Drosophila melanogaster: one gene and its partner. The protein of the gene in region 2 purifies or fractionates together with the protein of the main gene of each other region. This does not show direct contact. Each region holds a gene or a part of one and is shown on either strand. Other genes may lie near its edges.

Evidence for each region.
Region 1: the proteins of UQCR-C1 (region 2) and UQCR-11 fractionate together in Drosophila melanogaster (co-fractionation; one study listed by BioGRID). This does not show direct contact.

What each region holds. Positions count from the first base shown.
Region 1 is NT_037436.4:25,118,679-25,122,092, forward strand, and holds UQCR-11 (Ubiquinol-cytochrome c reductase 11 kDa subunit), read left to right. Parts: upstream 1-2,070; 5' UTR 2,071-2,140; intron 2,141-2,199; 5' UTR 2,200-2,223; coding exon 2,224-2,307; intron 2,308-2,365; coding exon 2,366-2,539; 3' UTR 2,540-2,693; downstream 2,694-3,414.
Region 2 is NT_033777.3:14,888,002-14,892,887, forward strand, and holds UQCR-C1 (Ubiquinol-cytochrome c reductase core protein 1), read left to right. Parts: upstream 1-2,229; 5' UTR 2,230-2,356; coding exon 2,357-2,425; intron 2,426-2,694; coding exon 2,695-2,901; intron 2,902-2,960; coding exon 2,961-3,289; intron 3,290-3,351; coding exon 3,352-3,722; intron 3,723-3,783; coding exon 3,784-3,875; intron 3,876-3,949; coding exon 3,950-4,294; 3' UTR 4,295-4,386; downstream 4,387-4,886. Other genes in the region: CG33332 (uncharacterized protein), read left to right, coding at 1-733, 794-958; CycC (cyclin C), read right to left, coding at 1,193-1,408, 1,469-2,056; Dph2 (diphthamide biosynthesis 2), read right to left, coding at 4,406-4,886.

The DNA of each region.
Region 1 (3,414 bases), on a different chromosome or scaffold from region 2:
AAATCTGACGCTCGCGGACCCAAAGTGTCATCGTTTTCTACCCATAGACTTAATGATTGGCGCTAGTCTCTTCTACGAACTGCTGTGCGTCGGTCAAGTCAATACCACATGCAATTCTAGTGTCTTTGGTCGCACCTACACCTTTGACTTGGAGTTCTGCTGTTTCCTCTGCAAATAAGTCGCTCTCCAATTATTCATCATATTCTTTAGTAATTTATGCATAAACAATACACGACAGCGCCACTCGGTCGGTTGGGCGGGAGGTGTGGCCGTGGGACCCGTGCAATTGATAAAAAAATAAATTATCGTTCGAGATCGCTGCATAGAAATCGTCTTTTCTTTGCAAATAGCTAATAGAAGAGCTTATTAGTTAAACAGTATTAGTTTTGTAAATTTCTAACGGTATTCCTAAAAACTTTTTGCCACGCCCACAAACCGCCAAAAACTGCCTCGCCCACACTTTTTAAAAATGTTTTTATATTATTTCGTATTAATATTAGTCTTTTATCGATTTTGCAAAAAAAAAAGTTTTGCCATGCCCACTCTAGCGTGAACAAACCGCCCAAAACCGACCTTACCATTGAAAAATGTTTGATTCTTCTTCGTTTTATTGTTTGTCTTCCGGCATTTTAATCGGCATACCAAAGACACTTTGGTCACGCAAACACAAACAAAACGCCCAAAACACACTTTTGAACCATTTTAGGTTTTCCTCATTTTTTAAAATTATTCTAGTGTCTTTGTTTACTCATGCGTCTCTAATGTCTCGAATAAACTTTGCAAAGAAGCATCGAATCTATTTTCTGTGCTTAGAAAAGGGACATATGGCGCGGTTCTGTAGGATTGATGGAATTTAGTTTACTGTGGGCTTACAATCCTTAACTGGTCTGCTATGGAAGAATTACGAGGTGAGGCTGACAGGCAGCTATAATATGAGGGTCATCAACATTGACAGCATACAGAGAAATTGAAAATGGCTATGTCAAGATGATACGTACAGTGACAGTGACAGTGTCTGCCACACTTCGGTGTCGAAAATCCAAATGAACCTACCAAAATACGTATAATCTACGTAATCTATAATGACGCAGCCAAGTCCCGGGATTAGGAGCTGCTTCAAGGTTTCTTGCAGTACACGTTCCTGTCGGAAGTGTGTGTACTTCAGGGAAGCAGCAGTCGGGGTCTAAAGATGGCCCAGGAATTGTCGACAGTCGCACTGAGGAATTTTATAAGCTGCCGTGGACCGGTGGCCAGATTGAGGAGTCAAAACGGAGAAGATGTAGAACGAACTGTCATCAAATTAAATGGAATGAAAATTTCAATGCCGGGCAGGAGGCGTATGCGAGCGGATGGTCCACGGGTTGAAGAAGGTACTCGCGCATACTAATAAAAAAATTAAGGTTAGTTTCAAATATTTTAGGTCTTTTTATTCTGCTTTTTACCACACTATGGTTCCTATTCAAATACAAATTACAACAACTATTCAATACAAATTTTATTTGTGTGTGTAATTTTATAGAGAACACGCATAGTTGTATATATCAATAAAGAAGTTTTCGCATCAGTTTTATGAAAACTTTCTATCACTTAAGCATATATTTATTTGATTGCTTTTAATTAGTTATTGTTTAAAAACTAGAGCAAAAAGAACCAAAAAGACAGAGAAGACAACTCTGGCCCACAACGAATTAGTAATTATTAATTTTCAGTAGATATTTTATCCACTTTTTTTATCAGCTTTTAGCTGATTGAATTTCGTTTTAAAAACACCACGTCATTTTTAAATGTTTGCCTCCAAAAACATGTATCAAGGGAATCAGGAAAAAATTATGAAAAGTTTTAAATAAAAGTTTATAGCCTAAAAAAAATTATCTGACCCCCGTCACGGCGGACAACTGGCCAAAAATTATTTTAATTGCTTTGATTGTACCTTGTGTGAACAGATTTTAACATCTAGGTAAAATTGCAAACGGTTCATAAAGATGTATTCTATTGGGGCTAGGCTATAAGCTTAGCTAATTGATATATATGCATAAAATAATCTGTTTTTGTTGGTCTGGCCCTCATAATTCAGGCATACATAAAATACATTGTGATTGCATCATAGCGGTCTTAAAGGTTATAGTTATTTTTCAAAAATGTAATTTACGTTCATATTCATAAAATTTGGTACTATATATGTTTTTGAATTCTGACTAGTTTATTCTCTTTTTAGCATTAATAATGGCTTTTAGGAACTGGTTTTCGCTTCCCGCCGTCAGAGCTGATGACGAAGAGGACTTAGTTGACCCTCAAGCAGTTTTAAGGGTAAAAAAGATTTCTTTACATCATTTAATATAACACTAAACTGATTTTTATGCAACAGGAAAAATGTCAAGCTAAAGGTCACATAGAATCCTTGTACAATAAGTACCAAGAGTGCAATGATCGTGTTAATGGGCGATCCAAAACAACTGAGACTTGCATCGAAGAATTATTTGACTATGTTGCTGAGTTAGATCATTGCGTTTCGCACAGTCTTTTTACAAAGCTTAAGTAAATACCATTAAAGTCAATTCCATTAAAGGGAAGGGCAGTGCTTAAAAATAAGAACATAAATAAACAAATCTCTTTATCGAGTTTTATACGTGTTTTGTGCCTTTTGGTGATCAGAACCTTTTAGAAGCGAAATTGGGTAGGTAATACTACACTAGTGGGCATAAGTATTTGCACGCCTTTGTTTTAATACTAAACCAAGGGTATTCTATTAAGTTGAGGGCTGGAATTTGAGGTGGCCAATCCAATGTTTTTATGCAAACATTTTTCAGAAACAGTAATCAGTTTGGTCTTATAACAGGGAGCATTATCATGCTGGAGTATGAAGGACTCTCCAATCAATTCATCATCATTATTATTAAGGACATCTAAATATTTTATTTGATTCATGTGTCCATCAACAGGAACCAAATCTCCCAAGACAGTGAAGGCTACGCATCCCCAAAACATAACAGACCCTACTGACTATTCTTTGACATTCTGGTGCCAGTTTTTTTCGATATTCCGATATCGAATTTTCGAAATTTAAAAGGTGGAACCATTTGCCCATGTTTTCCATTGCCAGCGCTTATGCAATGCATTTGCGCTGCAAATGTGTCTGTACGTATGTATATATTTATAATACATTGAAGTATTTGTATTGAGTAAAGTAATATGAGTTTACTGAGTGGGCTTCTTTTTTATTTTAGTTTATTTTTATTGATATTGTTTTCATTAAGTGATGCCATCAACTATGAATAAAAAAGTTTTAACGTGTAATTATGAACTACTTGTTTTTTGTTTAGTTACTTAATTTCATAACAAAACTATCTCCCACTGCTATTTTTATTTTGTTATGTGTAAGTCATTATTTTCATTATTCTTTCATTTATACTCTTC
Region 2 (4,886 bases):
GAAACGCAGCAAGCATGAGGAGGAGCCACCTGTGCCTTACACGCAACCTCCACATTTAATTAATGCATCTCCGCCAGATGTGGCTACAAACAACGAAGATTCCTTTGGTCCCGCTTTACCGCCGCATTTAAGGAAGACCCAGCAGCCGGAACTCCCTGAGCAAAGCCAACCAGCCCCACAACCGCAGGCCATGATAGGACCCGTCCTGCCCAGCAATTTGACCCGGGAAAAGTCTCCTACTAAGGAAGCGGAAGCTGAGGACGATGATGACCTAGCTGGCACCTTTGGTCCTCTGCCAAATGCCAGTCAAGTGGCTCTGGAGGAACGTGCTTTGGCACTTAAACTGGCAGCTCTGGAGGGCGGGGGATTGGGTACATCTACAGACCAAGATGTCCGCGAAGAGTGGATGCTTGAGCTGCCAGATGTGGGACTGAAGAGCGGCCTTGCCGCCCTGAGCAATATGAAGCGCACTTTCTATCAGGGAAAAGAGCGACCCGACTTTAGCGATCGATCATCCTGGACGAAGACCCCGCAGAGTGAAGCGGATGCTGCTGCATCGGGCCCAAAGTCGCTCAGTTCGAAGGAACTCGAGCAAATGGCACAGGTCAAGTACGAACAGCAGCGGGATGACGAGCAGGAGAGCATGGCCAAGAGGCACAAAAAGAAGCACAAGCGAGAGGAGTCCCTAGTGGAGCTACATCAAAAAAAGCTTAGGAAAGAGCAGAGAGAAAAGGTACGAGGAAAAATATTTCTTAAAAACATAATATGGATATAATATTGTTATAAATTTAAGGAAAAAGAACTGGCTGCATCGGGTTCCAAGCCAGAACGAAGACCTTTTAGTAGGGATGTGGACTTGAAACTTAACAAGATCGACAAGAATCAGACCAAGCAGATTGTAGACAAGGCCAAGATATTGAACACCAAGTTCTCCAGGGGTCAAGCTAAGTATCTGTAGGTTAAATGAACCATAAAAAATCCAGACGATCCGTACCGCATGTTAATCTTAAGCAATTATGTAATTTAATTTAGAAATAATTATTATAAAGGCAAAATAATTTGTAAATGACATTTTTGATTGCTTAGTCACCTAGCTTAAACTTTCGTTTAATTGGCATAAATACATTGGTAATATGAGTACAAACACACAATTGGGCAATACCAGCTAATGATGAATGATTATGAAGCTCTTCTAACGCTGAGGCGGTGGTTTCGGTTTCGGAATCTTGGACAGCAGCATCTGAATCTCGTCCTTTTCCTTCCAGTCCTTCCACAACTCGTACAGATTTACAATGGCGCGCACGATCTCCTGGACCTTGTCTAAATCAACATTCAATTCTGCGAACCACTGCTTCGTGGCGTCCTTTTGCAGGATGACGCAGGCGATTTGAAGGCAGGCTATAGCGATCTAGAAAAAAATAGGTTCTTCAAATGTGAGGAAGCTGTAGAAATTATCAGGATCACAAACCTGGTAAGGAGGATAGAGCAGGCAGACATCGGTGCGCAGGGAATCGTTTACGATACGCCAGCTCAGGGTGAGCAACTGGTCCTCCTGGCCCATGTCCTGAACCAGCTGCAGCAGCGGTCTGTACGGCTGGTAGACAATCAAGCAGCAATCCAGGTTCTCCAGCAGGTAAAACTCGCACTCCAGGATGTGATTGGTGCGGTAGGGAAACTCCTGAGCGTACGCATAGCTGAACTTTGTCTTAATGGCCGACTGGCAGATCGAGATCAGTCGTGAATTGGAAATGACACCGAACTCCTCCACCTTCGAGGCCAGCAAGATGCAAGTGGGCGCCAGCAGCAGAGGATCGATGTTCTTCAGGGAGTTCCTCGCATAGAATCTCTTGAAGTAAACCGTCGCCGTGGCGATGACCTGTTGCCTCAGCTTTAGCTGCTCGCCGAGCACCTGGATCACATTTGCGAAGAAAATAAACACCTTTTGGTATTCATCCTCGTTAAGGGCCAACAAATCGTGCTGACGCTCCCGGAGCAGATCGGGTTTGTCCAAAATCCACTGCTGCGAGTGCGAACTCTGCCAAAAATTGCCCGCCATTTCGTAACTAGTAGGCCTAGCTGATTAGGTCGGCCAATATTTTCGTGTTAGCTATCCAAATTAGGTGTTTATTTCAATAGCAAGCCGGAAAACCAGGAAAAACGAAAAAATTGTGTTGCCGTTTCAGCCAGTGTGTGCACACCAGGGCTATTTTCCACGAACAGCTGACTGGCCGCAGCCAACTTTGCGCAGCGCAGTACATTGGTGTGTGTGTGTGAATTTTTCATCAGCGCCGCGGCCACAGACGAAAAAGTCTTAAATATTTTTTAGTAATAGGCTATTGAACGAATTAATAAAACGATGGCGTTGCGAGTTCTTGGCGTGACGCAGAATATGCGCTCCTTCATGCGGGGCGTTGACATGATCAAAGTAAGTCCAGACAGCCATCCAATGATTACGCTTCCGAGGATTTAAATTACGTAATTGTAAATGATTGTGTTTTTGGTTGCAATTGTGGTTTATTCTTGTGAGAAAAGGGATAAACAACCTCTTGTTGGTCAGTTATTCAAGAGCCATCCAGTTTTTCAAACAAATATTTGGGAAAACTGTTTGGAAAACCCACTACAAGCACTTTGAGGTTATGTTCGTGTTTTACTTAACTCTGGGCTATAGTTTTCCCAATTTTCCCGAACTTACAGCGATACAAGTCGGCTGCCACCCTACAGAAGACTCTGCTGAACATACCCGCCACCCAGGTGACCAAGCTGGACAACGGTCTCCGCGTGGCTAGCGAGGATTCCGGTGCCTCTACCGCCACCGTGGGACTGTGGATCGATGCTGGGTCGCGCTCCGAGAACGAGAAGAACAACGGAGTGGCCCACTTCCTGGAGCACATGGCCTTCAAGGTTGGCTCACTAGCTTGATGCTTTAAATGCGTATAATATGCGTTTCTGCCACTTTTTAGGGTACCGCCAAGCGCTCGCAAACGGATTTGGAGCTGGAGGTTGAGAACCTGGGCGCCCACTTGAACGCCTACACTTCCAGGGAGCAGACCGTCTTCTACGCCAAGTGTTTGTCCAAGGATGTGCCCAAAGCCGTCGAGATCCTGGCCGACATCATCCAGAACTCCAAGCTGGGTGAGGCTGAGATCGCCCGCGAGCGTTCGGTGATTCTGCGCGAGATGCAGGAGGTGGAGAGCAACCTGCAGGAGGTGGTCTTCGATCACCTTCACGCCACCGCCTATCAGGGCACTCCTCTGGGCCAGACCATCCTGGGACCCACCAAGAACATTCAGTACGTATATTCAGCTCTTATAACAAATGCTCTGTCTCTAATTAAAATCTTCATTTATTTAGGTCCATTGGCAAGGCCGATCTGACCGACTACATCCAGACCCACTACAAGGCTTCGCGCATCGTTCTGGCCGCTGCTGGCGGCGTCAAGCACGATGATCTGGTCAAGCTTGCCTGCAGCAGCTTGGGTGGCCTGGAGGCCAGTGTGCTGCCCGCGGAGGTGACTCCCTGCCGCTTCACCGGCTCCGAGGTGCGTGTGCGCGACGATTCCCTGCCCCTGGCCCATGTCGCCATCGCCGTCGAAGGCTGCGGCTGGACCGACCAGGACAACATCCCCCTGATGGTGGCCAACACCTTGGTGGGTGCTTGGGATCGTTCCCAAGGCGGTGGCGCCAACAACGCCTCCAACCTGGCCCGTGCCAGCGCTGAGGACAGTAAGTGTACATCAGTAAGACGACCAGGATATGGAGATTATTAACTATTATTGCCCTACAGACCTTTGCCACAGCTTCCAATCGTTCAACACATGCTACAAGGACACCGGACTCTGGGGCATTTACTTCGTGTGCGACCCTCTGCAGTGCGAGGTAAGAAGAATTAATGATTCAACAGAAAACTCTCGAGAGAAAGCAAATTTTACGTAAACAAACCTCTTCCCCAGGATATGCTCTTCAACGTGCAGACCGAGTGGATGCGTCTGTGCACCATGGTTACCGAGGCTGAGGTCGAGCGCGCCAAGAACCTTCTGAAGACCAACATGCTGCTGCAGCTCGACGGCACCACACCCATCTGCGAGGACATTGGCCGCCAGATCCTGTGCTACAACCGCCGCATCCCGCTGCACGAGCTGGAGCAGCGCATCGATGCCGTGAGTGTGGGCAATGTGCGCGACGTCGCAATGAAGTACATCTACGATCGGTGCCCAGCCGTCGCTGCCGTGGGTCCCGTTGAGAACCTGCCCGACTACAACAGAATCCGCTCCTCCATGTACTGGTTGAGGGTTTAAGAGGTTCCGCCCCGCTGTTGTTGGACATTGTAGTTTAATTCAAAAGAAAATTTCACCCCCAGAGGATCAGTAAACCGATAATACTAAAAGTTATATAAGTTTCTCAGGCCTTTATTGGTGTGAATAGTTAATGGGTATACCACTGAGTCCCTGCTGCAACTTGGCGGGCTCCGTCTGTCCAAGGGCAGGATCCAATCCCTGCCAGGTGCGATCCTCGAAGGAGAGCCCGGTATCCGTCGTCATGAGAGCCATTTTGGCTTGTGTAGCCAGAGCAAGCGAGGCGGGATCTCCACCTGTTTCCAGGGAATCGTTGACCGCTCCTCGTAGCCTTCCACTCACCAAGCTGACGTCGTTCTCTGGTATATCTGCCGCATCAAAAGGCAAGAAGCTGCGTCCTTCCGGCAGAAGTTGTTTGAAATCCGTAACATAAGCTTCGGGGTATCTCATGTGCCAGGCGGGATTCAAGGCCATCTCTGCCTCGAAGACAGAGACAATGGGCTTATAGTACTCTTTGGAGTCGTACATATTATTGAACGGGCAACCGATCAGGACAAAACAATCGATTTCCAGGAAGTTAGCGAGTTTGGCTGGG